2 linked regions of the Arabidopsis thaliana genome follow. The protein of the gene in region 1 interacts with the protein of each later gene in a pairwise test. Each region holds a gene or a part of one and is shown on either strand. Other genes may lie near its edges.

Region 1 (9,591 bases):
ATGTCAAGAGGATATGAACCACTGCTTTGTTCTCGAATCTCTCTGTATTCTTGGCAAATGGCACACAAGTGACAGAAGAAGTGTGTTACAAAATCCCCACATGGAGCCTCCTGAATCAAAGAATGTTAAATCAGTCAGAAGCGCCACATACATACCTAATGGTATTATCCACATATGTGTCGTTTGAGAAATTCTAACCTGTAAATTGTACTTGGCTCTTAATGATTTGCGGTACCCGCAAGCATAACATGACACAAAGCATCCCGGTAGACCGAGCAATGCGCCATTAGTTGCAAAGCAGCAAATGGTATTGACCAAAGCCCAGGAGATGCAATGGGTTAAGCAGGGTCCTGCAAATGTTCCAGACCCCAGAAGCTCTGCGTTTTTGCCAAAGATATAACAAGGACAGAACAAACCTACACAACCTGTGCATACGAAACAAACCACAGTAAGTTGTAATGTTCATTTCAAACCATTGTCTAAATGATCTTCAGCATAAACAAGAAAACAGAATCAAGTCCTAGAGAAGTAACACAAGGAAGCTCAAAACATAAGCAATCTAAGTTTCTTCCTAGCCTATTCAAGAAATGCACTTGGTTATTCTTCTAAACCAAAAAAAACTCTGCAAGAACTATCAACCAGAACCACACTTATCTTTATGAACATATCTGAACACACTAACACATGGCAATTTCACAGGTCAATGCAAAGAGGCACCTTTAACAAATTTGATTCGTGTAGTAAAATGAAGAAGGTTTGGATGACAGAGAGTAGTAGCATACAGCTCTGCATATCGTCGAAGCAAGCGCATATACCAGATGACCATTGTCTCGGATCATCTTTTGTGCTTTCAGAAACAGCAATTTCCAGATTTGGAGTAGTGGTCTCTACTTCAGTATCAGCATCTGACTGTGTTAATGGAATATAAGATGGTGGCACGTAATGACCCTTCTTCTCTTTCATCCTAATTCTGATGAAACCACCAATATCAAGAACAGGACTTTATTTACCACAGAGCCTGAAAATTGACACCAAGAAACACATCTGTACCTTGAATTGCATCAAAATGAACATATATACAATTACTACAACAGCAGCTAAATCAAAAAGGTAGTGAGATGGAGAAGATAAGTAAATGAACGAACAGAGCAAGAAGCAGAGACAAAAAAAGGATCGGAAGAGAGAACAAGACGAATCAGCGAAAACGAGATAAAAGAGTAAACTTTAAACCCAAGAAGAAATAATCAGATACATGTGAATAGAAACAACTCTTTACCTGAGCTCAACGGAGAGATTAGTTTAGCGCATTAACTCAGAGATTCACGAGAAAGAGCTTACTTTTATTTTATTTATTGGTTCCAGAAGAAGAGAGATGGAGTTTCCACGTTGAGTAAATTGACCAGGCCTCTTATCAACATGTTATTTATATATTAATCTCAAAACATCAATTTACGCATTAATAAATTTTTCATTATTAGTAAAATGTTTCTTTCCAACCATTGTTTAAAGTTTCATATCTAACAATTTGAGAAAATAAAAGTTACAAAAAAAAAAAAATCTAACAATTTTAAGATATCTTTTTAAATCAACCTTTTCAATTAGTGCAAGAGCAAAAAAAAAAAATGTTGGTCAACAAAAATTGTTTTTTTTCTTAAATTTATAAATGGTGGTGGATTTTTTTGGGGACCTATTTCGAAATGACTATCTAAGGAGCGAAGCCAGCAAGGATCTGTTTCAGAGAGAAAAAAAAGAGGTTCCGACTTTTTGTTAGCGAGCGGCTCACTCTACTTTGTCTCCCCCAAAAAAGCCGTTAGGGTTTATCATATCCACCGCCTTGCTTTACTCTCGCCGGAGTCGTACGGCGAAGCACGGTTGTTCGGCGTTGTCTCAGCTTTAGATTCTTCTCTTCATAGCTAGAATTCGCGAAAGCTGACTTTAGCTGAAACGAATTTCTCCTAATTTTCGAGATATGGCGGAGGTATCGATGGGAAGCAGCAGTAGCAGCACGGATCTGTCTCCCGAGGAAGAGCGAGTTTTCATCAGAGACATTGCTATTGCTGCTGAGGCTAATAGTAAAGAAGGCGATACATTTTATCTCATCACTCAGAGGTTTATAAAGCTTTGATTTTTGCTCCCTATGGTCACTTGTAGCTTGAATTTATCAAATTCCCAAGAGTTATATCTATCTGTTCGTCTTGTTTGGTTGCCTTGGTTTCGGACTTGGTTAGGGTTAGAGTTACGATTAGGGATTGGGTTATCTGTAGTAGTTGATGAGATTAGTTTGAGCATTTCATAACCTTTTCCAAAGAACTGTCTTTTATTGACTCATGTTTATGGGTATTGTATTAGATTACAACCATTGTGATAAAGTTTGAATTTTCTCTTATGGTACTTCTGCTGAGAACATTCTCTCTCTTTTCTGTCCAGATGGTGGCAAGAATGGATTGAGTATGTGAATCAAGACCAACCATGTAACACAAATGATGGGTCTTCACTGTCAGAGCATTGCGACTCTCCTGGTTCAAGCACTCTAAAGAAGCCTTCTAGGATTGATAACTCTGATTTGATCTATGATTCTTCGCTGGAGGACCCGAGTAATACCAGTGAGATTATTGAAACACTTCAGGAAGGTCGTGATTATGTTTTGCTCCCTCAAGAAGTGTGGAACCAATTGCGTTCATGGTGAGTTTTAAGTGTAGAAGAATTGAACTGATATTAAATTTTACGTCTCTTCATCTTATGTGGGCTAGACTTATTTTTATCCCTATTCTAGTGCTTTTGATTTTCCTTGGTTATCTTTGGTATGTTGGGTCATGTTTATCTAACATTCCTCAAATGGATAATGCTAAGGTTAAGTCAGATGTGTAGCTCTACCAAGTTCATCTTGTATGCACCTGATGTTATTTAGTTGCTTTCTCTCCTATGTTGATTTGTAATGCATAATATGAAACTAATAACGCAATCTCTTGGTTTTCTTATTTACTACACTATAGTTTGGCTTTTTTCACTTAAACTGATTATATGGTTCTTATGGACTATTGCTTCTGTTTTATAAGGTACGGGGGTGGTCCAACTCTGGCACGGAGAGTCATTAGCTCAGGTCTCTCTCAAACAGAATTGGCTGTAGAGGTTTACCCTTTACGTCTTCAGCTACTTCTGATGCCAAAAAGTGACCATAGTGCCATAAGAATTAGCAAAAAGGTTATCCTCTTTTCTGTTCTTTTTTTTTCTTTGTTCATTACTTGAAAATCTGAACTCGTTTAGTCTGCTACTTCATTGAACTATCAAACTTTGTTGTGCAGGAAACTATCAGAGAGCTCCATCGAAGAGCCTGTGAAATTTTTGACCTCGACTCAGAGCATGTAAAGATCTGATATTCCTATGTTATTAAACAGCCCGTTTCAATAATACTTTTGGTATTCTTTTCTTTCCCTTTCTCTTTCTTACATGAGCATTTTCTATCATGTAGGTACGCATTTGGGATTACTACGGCCACCAAAAGTATTCTTTGATGAATGACTTAGATAAGACACTGGACGATGCTAACCTACAAATGGATCAGGATGTGAGTTCACTTCTTCTTCTTCTTCTTTTTGCTTTCAAAGTTATTAGCTATTTGAATATAAATTTTTTATGCTTCAGTCCGATTGTTTAGTTAGCCTAAGCTTAAGGTTTTATAGCTCTCTGACTTTTATCTTTTCTGGTGTTCTTACTGACTCGTTAACTTTCCCACTGATTTTGTGTCTGTCGTTTAAAAACAGATTTTGGTGGAGGTGCTTGACATCAATGGTACATTATCAAGTGCTCACATTCAATCTGCTCAAGAGAACGGATTGGTGGATGGAGACTCTACTTCTATTCTCATTGAGCCTTCTAAATCGAGCTTGGCTGCCGCAGGAGGGTTCTCTTCAAGCAGGAATGCATTCAGAACTGGTAGTGTAGAAGTTTCACAATCTTTTGATAACACATACAGTAGCACTGGCGTCACCACTAGGGGATCCACAGCTGGCTTGACAGGGCTGCTAAATCTTGGGAATACTTGTTTCATGAATAGTGCGATTCAGTGTCTGGTTCATACACCTGAGTTTGCTAGTTACTTTCAAGAAGATTATCATCAAGAAATAAATTGGCAAAACCCTCTTGGAATGGTGGTAAGTTCCTCTTGAAGTTCTTTGCTACTCATAAATCTGATGGATACATAAGTGTGTGTGTAGGTTTAAGTGTATAGGTATGCTTAGACATCATTGGTTCACTTGTGTTTCCCTGTTGCACGTAAAATCTTTTGCAGTATTGTATGTTTGGGGTTGTGCTTTCGTCCCAAACATTCTTGATAGGCTTAATTTTGCATATAAATGGAATAACGTTGGAATATATAAGACATCTTATATCATCAGAAGTTACATTAGAAGTTGATTAGGGTAGTGTTCCTTGGCAGGTAATCAGTGTTATTTTCTCGCGTAGATCACAAGCATTGTTTCTTTCTGAGATATTGAGTAGTTGATTTCAGATCATTTCTTGACTGTATTGAAATCATTTTGCACAGGGGGAATTAGCTCTCGCATTTGGTGACTTGCTCAGGAAGTTATGGGCTCCTGGGCGGACACCAATTGCACCTCGTCCATTCAAAGCTAAACTTGCTCGCTTTGCTCCTCAATTTAGTGGGTACAATCAACATGATTCGCAGGTTTGTGAGACTAGCCAGATATTTTCTTTAACCTGAATTTACATTGTAGCTCAAGGAATTCGAGTTTTTCATTTTGCAGGAGCTTTTAGCGTTTCTGCTGGATGGTCTTCACGAGGACCTAAATCGTGTTAAACACAAACCATATATAAATTCTCGAGACGCAGATGGGCGCCCTGATGAAGAAGTTGCTGATGAGTTCTGGAAAAATCATATTGCTCGTAATGACTCAATAATAGTTGATGTTTGTCAGGTCAGCTGTATATCTTTTAGAAAATCCAACGCTTCTCTGTTTATCAACTCATGGCATTGAAACTGATACTAGTATTGTGGATTAGGCTTGCATTTGGTTATAACGTCTAGGAATCTGCTGTATGGTCACTCAACTAATAGACACGAGTAACCGACATTCCAGTCCCTTTTGCTTTTTAGTGGCTCTGTAGAAAGTTAATTATATCAGAAGAGTTAAATTGGCCTAGTAAAAATACTGTATACATTTGCAATTTTCACAGAAACACGGTATTTGAAGAGGGTACATAACTTGTCTCTGTTCCTATTGAATTTAGTCTTGATATTTATGTTAATCTCGGTTGTGTGAGTGCATCCATCATGTATCAGCTTTATATGTAGCTGATTTTTAGCTTGTGATTCAGACCCAGGGTATATTGTTATTTTTTGTTTTGGTTTTAATTTTTAATACTGTGGGGAATCTCATTCTCCTACTCTGTTTGTCAACTCACAGGGCCAATATAAGTCAACATTGGTGTGTCCAATCTGCAACAAGGTTTCTGTAACGTTTGATCCCTTCATGTACCTGTCTTTGCCGCTGCAGTTCAACACAACACGAGCAATAACAGTCACAGTTTTTTCTTGTGATAAAACTGCCTTACCTTCCACTATCACAGTCAATGTTTCAAAGCAGGGACGTTGCAGAGACTTGATCCAGGCATTAACAAATGCTTGTTCCTTGAAGCAAAGTGAAGAGCTGAAACTTGCAGAGGTTTGTGGCTTCAAGTGCGTTTTTGAGTAAGATGTTGATCTTTTGGCTTCCGCTTATCTAAGTTTAATATGTTTTTCGCAGATTCGGAATAATTTTATCCATAGATTATTTGAAGACCCTTTAATTCCGTTGTCAAGTATCAAAGATGATGACCACCTTGCTGCATACAAACTTTCAAAGTCTTCGGAGAATACGACTTTGCTTAGACTAGTACTCCGCCGCAGAGATCAGTAAGTTAAATATCAGTCTAATTTGTATGAACTAATTCTGGGGATTAGTTTGAAACAACAAAGTCCTCTTCTGTACTCAACATCTTTGGATTTCCTTTCTTAAAACTTCAAGACTTTCTTTTCTTTAAGGCCTCACTTCTTCAGTCTTTGATTTCTGAATAATTTTTGAATCCTTGATTAATGCTGATCTGAGAAAGGTATCTTATATTCTGTTTGCTCTCTTCTTTATCTTTTCTTGTACCATGTTTTAGGAAAGCTGGGGAACGTGAAAGTACAGTACAATTGAAACCCTGTGGAACACCTCTTCTCTCATCAGCTTCATGCGGAGATGCACTCACCAAAGGAAAAATCCATTGCCTCGTCCAGAATATGCTTTCACCTTTTCGGAGGGAAGAATCTGTGGGCAAAAAAGGAAATTCTGATTCTAGCATCCCCGAGAGAAGGTCAGCTCGATTTAATAATACTGAGGAAGAAGATAAAGTTGGTGGACTGAAAAAAGCCAAGAAAAGCAACTCCTCCGACTTGGGTGCTTCTAAATTATCCCTGCAACTCATTGATGAAGACAACAAAACGATTAATCTGCCAGACAATGAAGCAGAAGCTATGAAATTACCGTCATCAGCTACTGTAACTATATATTTGGATTGGACACCAGAACTCTCTGGTATGTATGATATAACTTGCCTGGAGAGTTTGCCTGAAGTACTCAAATACGGACCTACTACCAAGAAGGCTCGTTCAGAACCTCTTTCTTTATATGCATGTTTGGAAGCGTTTCTACGCGAAGAGCCTTTGGTACCTGACGAAATGTGGTAAGCAGTCTTTTCTCCTTATCCTTCCTGTGAGACTCATTTTTTATGGTTTGTGGTAAAAGTTGAACTACGCATTACTACAAGATGATGAATGATGTTCAGAAATTGCTAGTGTCTACTACGGATGGAAGTTGAACACACTGTATTTTTGCAGTAGATTTTAGCCAGTATCTTCTACTTAGCTGACTAAATCAATCAATGGTATCATTTCTCTTTTTTTGAAGGTTCTGTCCACAATGCAATGAAAGAAGGCAGGCAAGCAAAAAGCTTGATCTGTGGAGGCTTCCTGAGGTCTTAGTCATACATCTAAAGAGATTCTCATACAGCAGGTCCATGAAGCATAAGTTGGAAACATTTGTTAACTTTCCCATTCATGACTTAGATCTAACAAAGTATGTAGCCAACAAAAACCTATCTCAACCTCAACTATATGAGCTCTATGCCTTGACCAACCATTATGGTGGTATGGGCAGCGGACACTACACTGCACATATCAAGGTCAGTTCGAACAACTAAACTTTTTCATTCTGTTTCCATTTCTGAGTTTCTTGCTTGTTTTTCTTATGTTTATTATCGAATATGGTCTGCAGCTTTTGGACGACAGTAGGTGGTATAACTTCGATGATAGCCATATATCACACATAAACGAAGATGATGTGAAGTCAGGTGCTGCATATGTGCTCTTCTACAGGAGGAAGTCTGATGCAGGCGGAAAAATGACATAAGTCTGCTCAAAACGACAATCTCCGAGGTAACAAATACCAAATTTAATTCTAAAAAGATTCTTAAAAGAAGTTTAGTTAGATCACTGAAACGTAGTTGTGGACTTGTGTTTACGCGTCTTGCAGGTTCCAGTAGTAATCTCTACACAGCTGTCTGCAACTTGGAACCCATAAGAGTGACAATTAGGTTTAGATCTATTGTAAATTAGTGGAGTTGGGTTCTGAGTAGTTTAATTAACAGAGATGAATATTGTCTCTCCTTCTCTGTCAGTTTCTGTATAGATTGTGTTTGGCATAATAGCAGTACTGTTATTGTCACTGACACATAATCACAAGACTCAGTCTAAATATGTAGTAGACAAGGTTTTTTATCTAGTTTGCCCAAAAACAAAAAGACAAGTTTCTTAATGGGCTTTGTTGAACGAATGGGCTTAAAAAATCAACGCTAGCCTCCTTGATATCTCCACCAACCGTGACCGGGAAACATGAAAGAACTTCCTCTTCCTAATTAGTAAGAACAAGAGTACTTAGGGTTTTGATATAAGTTTGTGGGTAGCGCTTTGTCAAAATCTATTGGGTTTGGTTTTTCGTCCAGCAGTCATGCAACGAGAGAGGAGTATGAAGAGGAAGAGAAGAAGAAGAGGAATCAAAGATATGTGCAATAGGCACGACTGCGAGATCCCTCCTGATCTCATGATAGAAATTCTTATAAGATTGCCAACAAAGTCCTTTATGAGGTTCAAGTGCGTCTCAAAGCAGTGGTCACCCCTTATCTCTGGTCGATATTTTTGCAACCGTTTATTTACTTGTGTAACACGACAACAACAACAACAACCACGTCTATACATGTGTTTAGTGGCCAAAGACAAGCAATGTGTTCTACTATCATCAACGTCACCGGACAACACTTGTTTTGTACTCGTCGACCAAGATTTGAGCATCCCAGGCTACTTCTTCGCCTCTGTTCCTGGCTTGCTGTGTTTCCAGTTCGGAACAAAGGCGTGTATCTATAACCCTAGCACCAAACAACTCTTGACCTTACCCTCCGTAAAATCCGACATCACAGCTCAACAAGGTCAACTGAAGACTACCCAATACTATATTGGACGCGATCCTGTTAATGATCAATACAAACTAGTCTGCACTATTCTGATATACTCGAAATTGTTTGCAAACATGAGCTCAGAGCATTGGGTCTTCACACTAGAACTTGGAGGTTCCTGGAAAAAAGTTGTTCCACTGGGAAATTATCATCCCCATGCTCCTGCCACAGCAGGACGGTCTATCGATGGAGTAGTACATTATCTAGCCTGGGTTGATTTGTACAAGTGTGCGGTTGTGAGTTTCAACATTAGGTCTGAAGAGGTTACTACCTTCCTATTACCTCGGAAAATCTGGGATGTGCCTGTGCCTGCACTGATGATGAAGGCGGATCTTATAGAGTATGATGGAAAATTAGCAATTTTCAGTCATAGCTACCTTAAAGACGAGGGTTTGGTAGAATTATGGGTATTGAAAGACGCTGCTGGGAAGAAGAAATGGTCCAATATGATCCTGGTTTTGCAGCCTTGCCAAAGGCATTTAGTCCATGGCATTGATTTGATCGTAAAAGGTACAACTCAAGACGGCAAGGTTATACTGTCACCCTTGGAGATGCGTTCTCAGTTCTACATTCTGTGTTATGATGTGCAAAACAATGATTTGAGAAAGGTTGAAATCACAGGAGTACCACGCCTTTGGTTGCATAAAGAATGCAATTTTGACTTGAAGTTTATGGATGAGAGTGAGAGCTTCATCTACTTGGAAATTTGACCAATACTTTTGACTTTTGTTTGTGTACCAGATAAGAATACAGTTAAGTTTTTTTTTTTTCTTCTGTCAAGATTAGTCTCCTACCCATAAATCCACCGAACCCTCGTTAACATTTATTATCAATCAAGAACACAAAAGAGAAGCACTCTACTAATTTGAGAAAGCGCTTTATGCTTATCTCGGTTTCATGAATGACAGTTGTTGTTTATATGGTCAAAGTTAAAAGGGTCTGCTTCATTCTTCACCATCTTTTGTAGAGACAACAAGATGATGCCTGCTCTAACAAACAAGCATGTGCCAAAAAATAATCATCTGTGCTCTTCTATACACACTA
Region 2 (6,693 bases), 7.8 Mb from region 1:
AGCTTGCGGTGTGTGCTCTAGACCATGTGGTGTGTCGTTCTACGGATGTATTGACTGTATGTTCAACGCCCATGTAGAGTGTATTGGGTTTCCAGCTAATGTGAGGAACCAACGGCATGTGCATACTCTCACACAAGTATACACTTCTCACAGGGAAAAATGGTCTGTCCGTGACAATTACATGGATCGTATATCTTACAAATGCTATCCTTGCGATAGGAATTTTCCCACTGAAAGGATAATGTCTAAGGTAAAGAGTTAACCGACTCTCATTTTTTTTATCAAAAATAATATTCGAATTTCATCATTTTTTTTCCCGATTCGTACAGGATGACCGTAGGGAAACAACAGAAGAGAAACAACAGAAAGACATCTATCTTATGCACCTTGAGCGTGATCTCATTGACCTTTTAGGTAGTGTTCTGCCTCCCTCTCTGAATTTAACCACAAGTTCCGTCGTATCATGTTATGCCTCAAAATCATCTCATTTTCTTCTTGTAGTGAGAACAGATGATGATGCATGTGGTCAAAGCCAGTGACGATTCCTCTTAGTTTGGTTCTGCCTCCCTTTATGAAACTGAATACGGAAAAATCCCTTATCTGAGGTTATGCCTCAATCTCTTCTCGTTTTCTTATCGTGTTTTAACAATAAAAGGTGGCGTGTTCGAAGACTTGGCTCTGATGAGTCTTATTTGTTATGCCTCCCTCTCTCAAATGCAACTTCAGTGAACTAAAGTTATGTTTCAGAATTCTATCATCTTCAACTTAGTCATTTGGTGAACTAAATTTGCAACATGTTTATTTATTGGATCTTGGATTTGTGGTTCTGATTGCCAAGTTTGAATGATTTTCAAGTGTGTATACCTGATTTAATAGTGAGTTTCTCTGATTGTTTGTGTGGAATATTGTTGTTTTGATGTTGTTTCTTTCTTATTTTTGCTTTTTCGAGAAAATACTTGCATTTTGTTTTTCGCATAATCAAGCTTTTGTGTTCGGAAAACCATAGATATAGTGTGAAGCTTAAGCTTCTATCTGGAATTTCCGACAAAACGTCAGGAACGTGATTTTACTTTGAGTCTTCTCCATATTGAATGAACAGGCTTTGAGGAATTATATTGTAAGTGTGAATACAGTGGGAGATGCTTGCTTGAGAACAAGCTGCAGTTGCCTGACGTTTTGTACTACAGATAAAGAATCATTCTCTCTTTTTGTACTACAGAAACGTAGAATTGCCTCGAATTGGATGCAAGGATTCCTGAGAAGCCTTAATTTGCCTCCCATGACGAGTTTTCGAGGGAAGGAGCTTTGTCATGAAACAGCGGAAGACTTGTTTGTTAGTTGGTTGGAAATATTCCTGAAACTTTCCGTTTCATTGCATCAGACTGCGCAATAAAGAATCTGCACACCTCATGTGAATGTAAAAACCGCATTCTAGACAACCAAACGGGACACTTTCAATCTTGTCCCTACACGCACCACAAAATGTTCGACCACCACTTCATATGTAATCAAGGCCTCTAAGAGGGTGTTTCGGATGCACGCGATGTTGACTCTCTGTTGGAAGATCAATGCAACGCTCGTGGAGAAACAAGTAACAGGAAACACAACCGTAGCATGTATAAGAGGGAGACAAAGGGAGCTCACAAAGCAGGCAAGAGCCTCTAGCGTCTTGTCCTGGTCTACACCTTCGAAGCAAATGTTCATGACTGTACTGAAGCATTTCTCTAACAACTTGTGATAATGTTCTTCAGTAGGCACAACCAAGATCAAGATAGACCTCACGTTCGTAAAATGAGCAAGAATACATATTCCCACAACCAGAGCAGACAATATATTGGTGACCTATGACTAGTATAGTATGGGTGATAAAATTGCATAGGCGACAGAAGAGATTGAACCCTTCTATATCATTCATGCAAATGTTACAATTCATAACAACTCCTGCACCTGCAGGGGCCGCTGGCTTTTCCAATGGAAACACTGAACTTTGTGTATTATGTCACCAAGATTACATAAGAAAAACACCATTGGAACTGGAAAAACGATAATGGAATCCAAAACAGAGGATTGAAAATACATAGTGTGCCAAAAACAAAGAAAACAGAACAAGAAATAAACAGAGCAAATAAACATATTACAAACATGATTTACTAACCGACAAAATTTTAGAGGTATATAACATAACAAGAAGTTGCAGAACTTAGTTTCAGAGGAGGAACAACCTAACTACGAAGAATCACGGTCTTTGATACGATGTCGGTCAATACACCGAAGATGATAAATCGTTTCACACTCCATACATGACACAGCCTTCCCAAGCACCCTCTCATGACAAATAATACAAACTTTTTGATATGACCTCGGGAACATAACTTGGACCATTCTATGCTTGCCTCCCAAACAACGTCCTCTCCAAGTTCCAACGACTTTCGGTCCTGTCATCCCAAGAAAACGTTTACCTTTCATGGCGCAACTGACGTGGATAATAAAATTGCATATTCGACAAAATAGATTGAACCCTTTTATATCCTCTCTGCAGCTTTTACAACTCGTCATATCCGTAGCAACTGGTTTTGGCATGAGTGTCAAAAGATGGTTCCAATGAAACCGATGTCTTGATGGTTTCCCTAGCTCCACACAGAAGTTATGTGTCACAAAGTTGCAAGTCTCGCATTTCCATGGATTACCAAGTATTTCTTTTTCACATATGTGACAATGTTCTTTGCCTTCAAGCTCACACATATCAATCGATGTCACCACATGATTATGGTTGATATCATGAACCTGCAACATATACCTTACACGTTTGAGACAAAAGGCTGGCTTAAAATGATGTTCATACTTTTCTTCCACTGATAGATAATTATAAAGCCATACCATAACTTTGTTGGTTTCATAGTCTTCTTGGTTTGTTGCTCTTTTGACGTCTTCAACACAAGAATACAGATCCTTCAAGTACAATGGTGATGGCTCTTTCTGTAGTTTGTAGATATAGATCATCAGCATTGCATCATTATTAAGAAACAAAAAAACACAAAAACGATATTGATTACCTCGCGTAGAATGCATTCAATGTGACCAAGAAAATCACATTCTTCGCACGAATAAACATGATGTCCGGCATGAATCAATGTCTCGCAAACGCCACAGTACTCCAAAGAATCATCCTCTTCACGTACTCTTTTACAAACAAGTGGATGAATGTGACAAGATCTCTTAGAAATGGTCTTGGAAATCCCAAGGCATTCGAAATGAAACTCCAATTCACATTCGATGCAGTGGTAGTAAGAATCGAGAGAGCTCACTACAGCTCCCAAGCATATTTGGCAACAATTGTTTCTTCCAAAATGTTCTTTAGCATTCGAAGATACATAAAACAATTTATGCTCATGAGATTCATGCATCAGACAGCGCAAAAACGAATCTGCACACCTCATGTGAATGTAAAAACCACATTCTAGGCAGCCAAAGGGGACACTGTCAATCTTCTCTCTACACGCACCGCAAAATGTTCGACCACCACTTCGTATGTAATCAAGGCGTCTGAGAGGGTGTTCCAGATGCACGGGATGTCGAATCTCTGTCGGAAGATCGAGACAGCGCTCGTGGAGAAACGAGTAACAGTAAACACAACCGTAACATATAGAAGAGGGAGAAAGAGGGAGCTCACAAAGCAGGCAAGAGCCTCTAGCATCTTGTCCTGGTTTACACCTTCGAAGCAAATGTTCATGACTGTAATGAAGCATTTCTCTAACGTCCCAACCAGTGAAAACGTTCTTCAGTAGTGCACAACCGAGATCAAGATAGATCTCACATTCTTTACATTCATAGAATGAGCAAGAAGACATGTTCCCACAACAAGAGCAGACAATGTAACCAGGTTTTCGATCATATTGGAATAGAGAAAACTCAAGAGGATGATCTGAGTGAAAACCATGTGACACCTTTTGCGGCAGCTTGGAGCAAGTCTTACATATATCAAAATTGCAAGGCTTACATGCGTATTCAACAACTTGGTCTTGGAAGCAAATGTTGCAGATGCCTTCAGCTACAATCTCCGGCGAGGTCAAAGGGCATGAGTGGGAGAAATGCTCGAGTTTTCCCATGGGGAAGAAGCAAGATTGGAATCTTGATCTAAGAGTACCATTAGATAACACAGTAATCTTGATCAAAGAACCTTCATGATTCAAAATCCCAAAAGCATAACTAATTGTGAGGTCGACAGAGAGAGAGAGAGTAATAAATTAGTGGCTCAATAATTGTTTCTCAACGTGGTGTGGTTGGAAAATTTAATATTTTTTATTTCGTTTACTGACCATGCTTAATTGGATTCTATTGAGCCCATTTTTTTTTTTTTGGTATCATTATGGTAATTGAAGTAATAATGATACTTAAAATTGTTATTGAATATGAAACTTAAAAATTGATGAAGAGTCTTCTCAGTGTGAAGTACCTTTCACTAGACAGTTCTTTATTCATAAGCATGTTCGATAACATATCAAGAAGCATAAATCCAACAGATGATAAGGGTCAAAGACGACTTCTTTTGGCTAACTTACGACACGTGACCAACAAGATAGGTCTAGACTTCTGAAGAACTGCCACGTCTTGGCAAGGTGGCAGGTTTTAAGACCATGGCTTGAGGGCATAAATAAGTTTTGTGGACAAAAGGGGAAAATGAGTTAAGAAGGATCGGTATCATCAACGATGTCGGGAGCACAAGGAGCAGAGCCGATGGATTCAAGAACGGCGACAACGTACGAGTCAGTGGAAGGAGGACAGAACAAGACGAAGCTTGATATAAGGTCAAAGGAAGACGAAGGTGGGATTCAAGTTGACAAGCTTCAAGACAAGGTCTCTGATGCTGCTGGTCTTGGCGGACCTGTCTTTGGTGCTGGTAAAGACGACAAGAAGCAGGATCTTGGTGTTACCGGTACCGGCTAGGTCTCTGTAAAATATGTTCAGATACGGTCCTGTCATAGTCATGTAATATTAAAAACATGTTTTGAGTAGAAAACTAATCAATAAAAGTCTTTTATGAGAAAACAATGAAACCTAACATTCAGACTCTTTATTATGAACCAAATCAAACTGTGTCCTCTTAAAAAACCAATAGGATCTGTGTATGAAAAAACAGAGAAGCAAGATCAAATAGGACCTTCACAAAACCAACCAAGAGTAAAACACCTAAACTTATAACAACACAAGGAAATAACATGTGTTGAATCCTGAGACAGAACCAGTATGGTAGCTCTCAATACACAGGATGATATATCTCTTCACACGTCATACATGACACAGCTTTCCCAAACAAAAACTCCAAGTTCCAGTGAATTTCTGCCTTAAAGCTTCAAGAACATGTTTACTTTTCAAGGCACAGTTGATGTGGATAACAAAAGTACATATACGGCAGAAGAGATTGAAATCGTATATATTCTCTCTGCAAATGTCACATTTCATCTTTTCCTGTGAAGGATACTTTGTCAACAGTGTCAAAGGATGGTTCTGATGAAATCGATGTCTTGATGGTCGCCCCAACTCCACACAGTACTGATGTGTCTCGAAGCGGCAGGTCTCACATTTCCATGGGTTACCAAGTATGTTTCCTCCACATATCTTGCAATATGGATATTTATCAAGAGCACTCATGAGGACTGGTTTCATAACATGCATATGCCATATATCATTAACCTACCTGAAGCAATTAGCCAAAACGAGAAAAAGTGTTTTTAGTTTTCATGAGCGTGATTGATTATGTAAAAGTCATACTGTAGTTTGTTTTCCAAGTTGTTGGTTCCAGAGGTTTCTTGATCTATTGATCTCATGGTAACTTTGCTAGAAGAATACAAAACTTTCAAGTACAACGGCGAAGGCTTTTCCTGTTGATTATGAGTATGAGTAGCTTTTCATCATCAATAAGAAAAGAAAAGAAGAAAACAGAATTGTAATGAAAAGAAGAAAACAGAATTGCAACTCTACAAGTCAAGCACTCAAAACCACTTGCCAGAAAATATATCATTATCTTTACTCTTTAGAAAACGAGTCAGGACTACACACATTAAAGACTTCAAACAACATAATGAACTTTGCATGCATATACAAAAAAAAATCTCAGACACAATCATTCTTCTGTTTTGTTTGACATAGAAAGTTAAGAACCTATTTGATGTTCTCTCTAGTTCTAAATTAAGTCAGATGGAGGAAGTGTGAAGGAAGCAGCACCATTTTCGACGTCATCAGTCTTAATGGTTCCATCTAAAGACATAAGCACTCTGTATATCCGCTTCGAACAGGCCTCACCTACACTTGTGTCTCTTCCTACTAAATTTTCCACTTTCAAGTCTTTCAGTAGAAACTCCTTCTCATGAACCTGGTCCCCAATTTTGTTAACCAACACAACACAATTTGCATCAGAAGCCATTAGAAACAACAACTCAAGAAGTCAATATCCGTAGTTTGTGTTAACTCACCGATATGTTAGGATCCATATAAACCTTAAGAAGTGACTTCAAGGATGGGTATTTCTTTGACACTGCTATAGCGTATCTTGGCTGTACCTTTGGTATTGCTACCAACACTTTCAACCTATCGATCCAATGCATATTAAACAAAGAAGGTGATTTCTAAAAAGATTATTGAAACTGGGTTTAGATTACTCTACCATATGCTCTCTCTAATCAAGTGCTTATCAGC

Evidence for each region.
Region 2: the proteins of UBP5 (region 1) and AT2G21830 interact in a two-hybrid assay, tested with the Arabidopsis thaliana proteins (one large-scale study listed by BioGRID).

What each region holds. Positions count from the first base shown.
Region 1 is NC_003071.7:17,074,571-17,084,161, reverse strand, and holds UBP5 (ubiquitin-specific protease 5), read left to right. Parts: upstream 1-1,633; 5' UTR 1,634-1,969; coding exon 1,970-2,109; intron 2,110-2,427; coding exon 2,428-2,682; intron 2,683-3,056; coding exon 3,057-3,201; intron 3,202-3,302; coding exon 3,303-3,362; intron 3,363-3,469; coding exon 3,470-3,565; intron 3,566-3,761; coding exon 3,762-4,151; intron 4,152-4,543; coding exon 4,544-4,684; intron 4,685-4,763; coding exon 4,764-4,934; intron 4,935-5,423; coding exon 5,424-5,681; intron 5,682-5,762; coding exon 5,763-5,911; intron 5,912-6,162; coding exon 6,163-6,723; intron 6,724-6,947; coding exon 6,948-7,221; intron 7,222-7,313; coding exon 7,314-7,448; 3' UTR 7,449-7,474; exon of another isoform or gene 7,475-7,571; 3' UTR 7,572-7,850; downstream 7,851-9,591. Other genes in the region: AT2G40935 (PLAC8 family protein), read right to left, coding at 1-110, 199-425, 783-963; AT2G40925 (F-box and associated interaction domains-containing protein), read left to right, coding at 8,046-9,257. UniProt on the Arabidopsis thaliana protein: Recognizes and hydrolyzes the peptide bond at the C-terminal Gly of ubiquitin. Involved in the processing of poly-ubiquitin precursors as well as that of ubiquitinated proteins.
Region 2 is NC_003071.7:9,301,234-9,307,926, reverse strand, and holds AT2G21830 (Cysteine/Histidine-rich C1 domain family protein), read right to left. Parts: upstream 4,215-6,693; 5' UTR 4,107-4,214; coding exon 3,054-4,106; intron 2,977-3,053; coding exon 2,878-2,976; intron 2,785-2,877; coding exon 2,227-2,784; 3' UTR 1,902-2,226; downstream 1-1,901. Other genes in the region: AT2G21840 (Cysteine/Histidine-rich C1 domain family protein), read left to right, coding at 1-250, 330-414, 502-539; AT2G21820 (seed maturation protein), read left to right, coding at 4,708-4,944; AT2G21810 (Cysteine/Histidine-rich C1 domain family protein), read right to left, coding at 5,287-5,673; EME1A (essential meiotic endonuclease 1A), read right to left, coding at 6,182-6,370, 6,471-6,585, 6,662-6,693.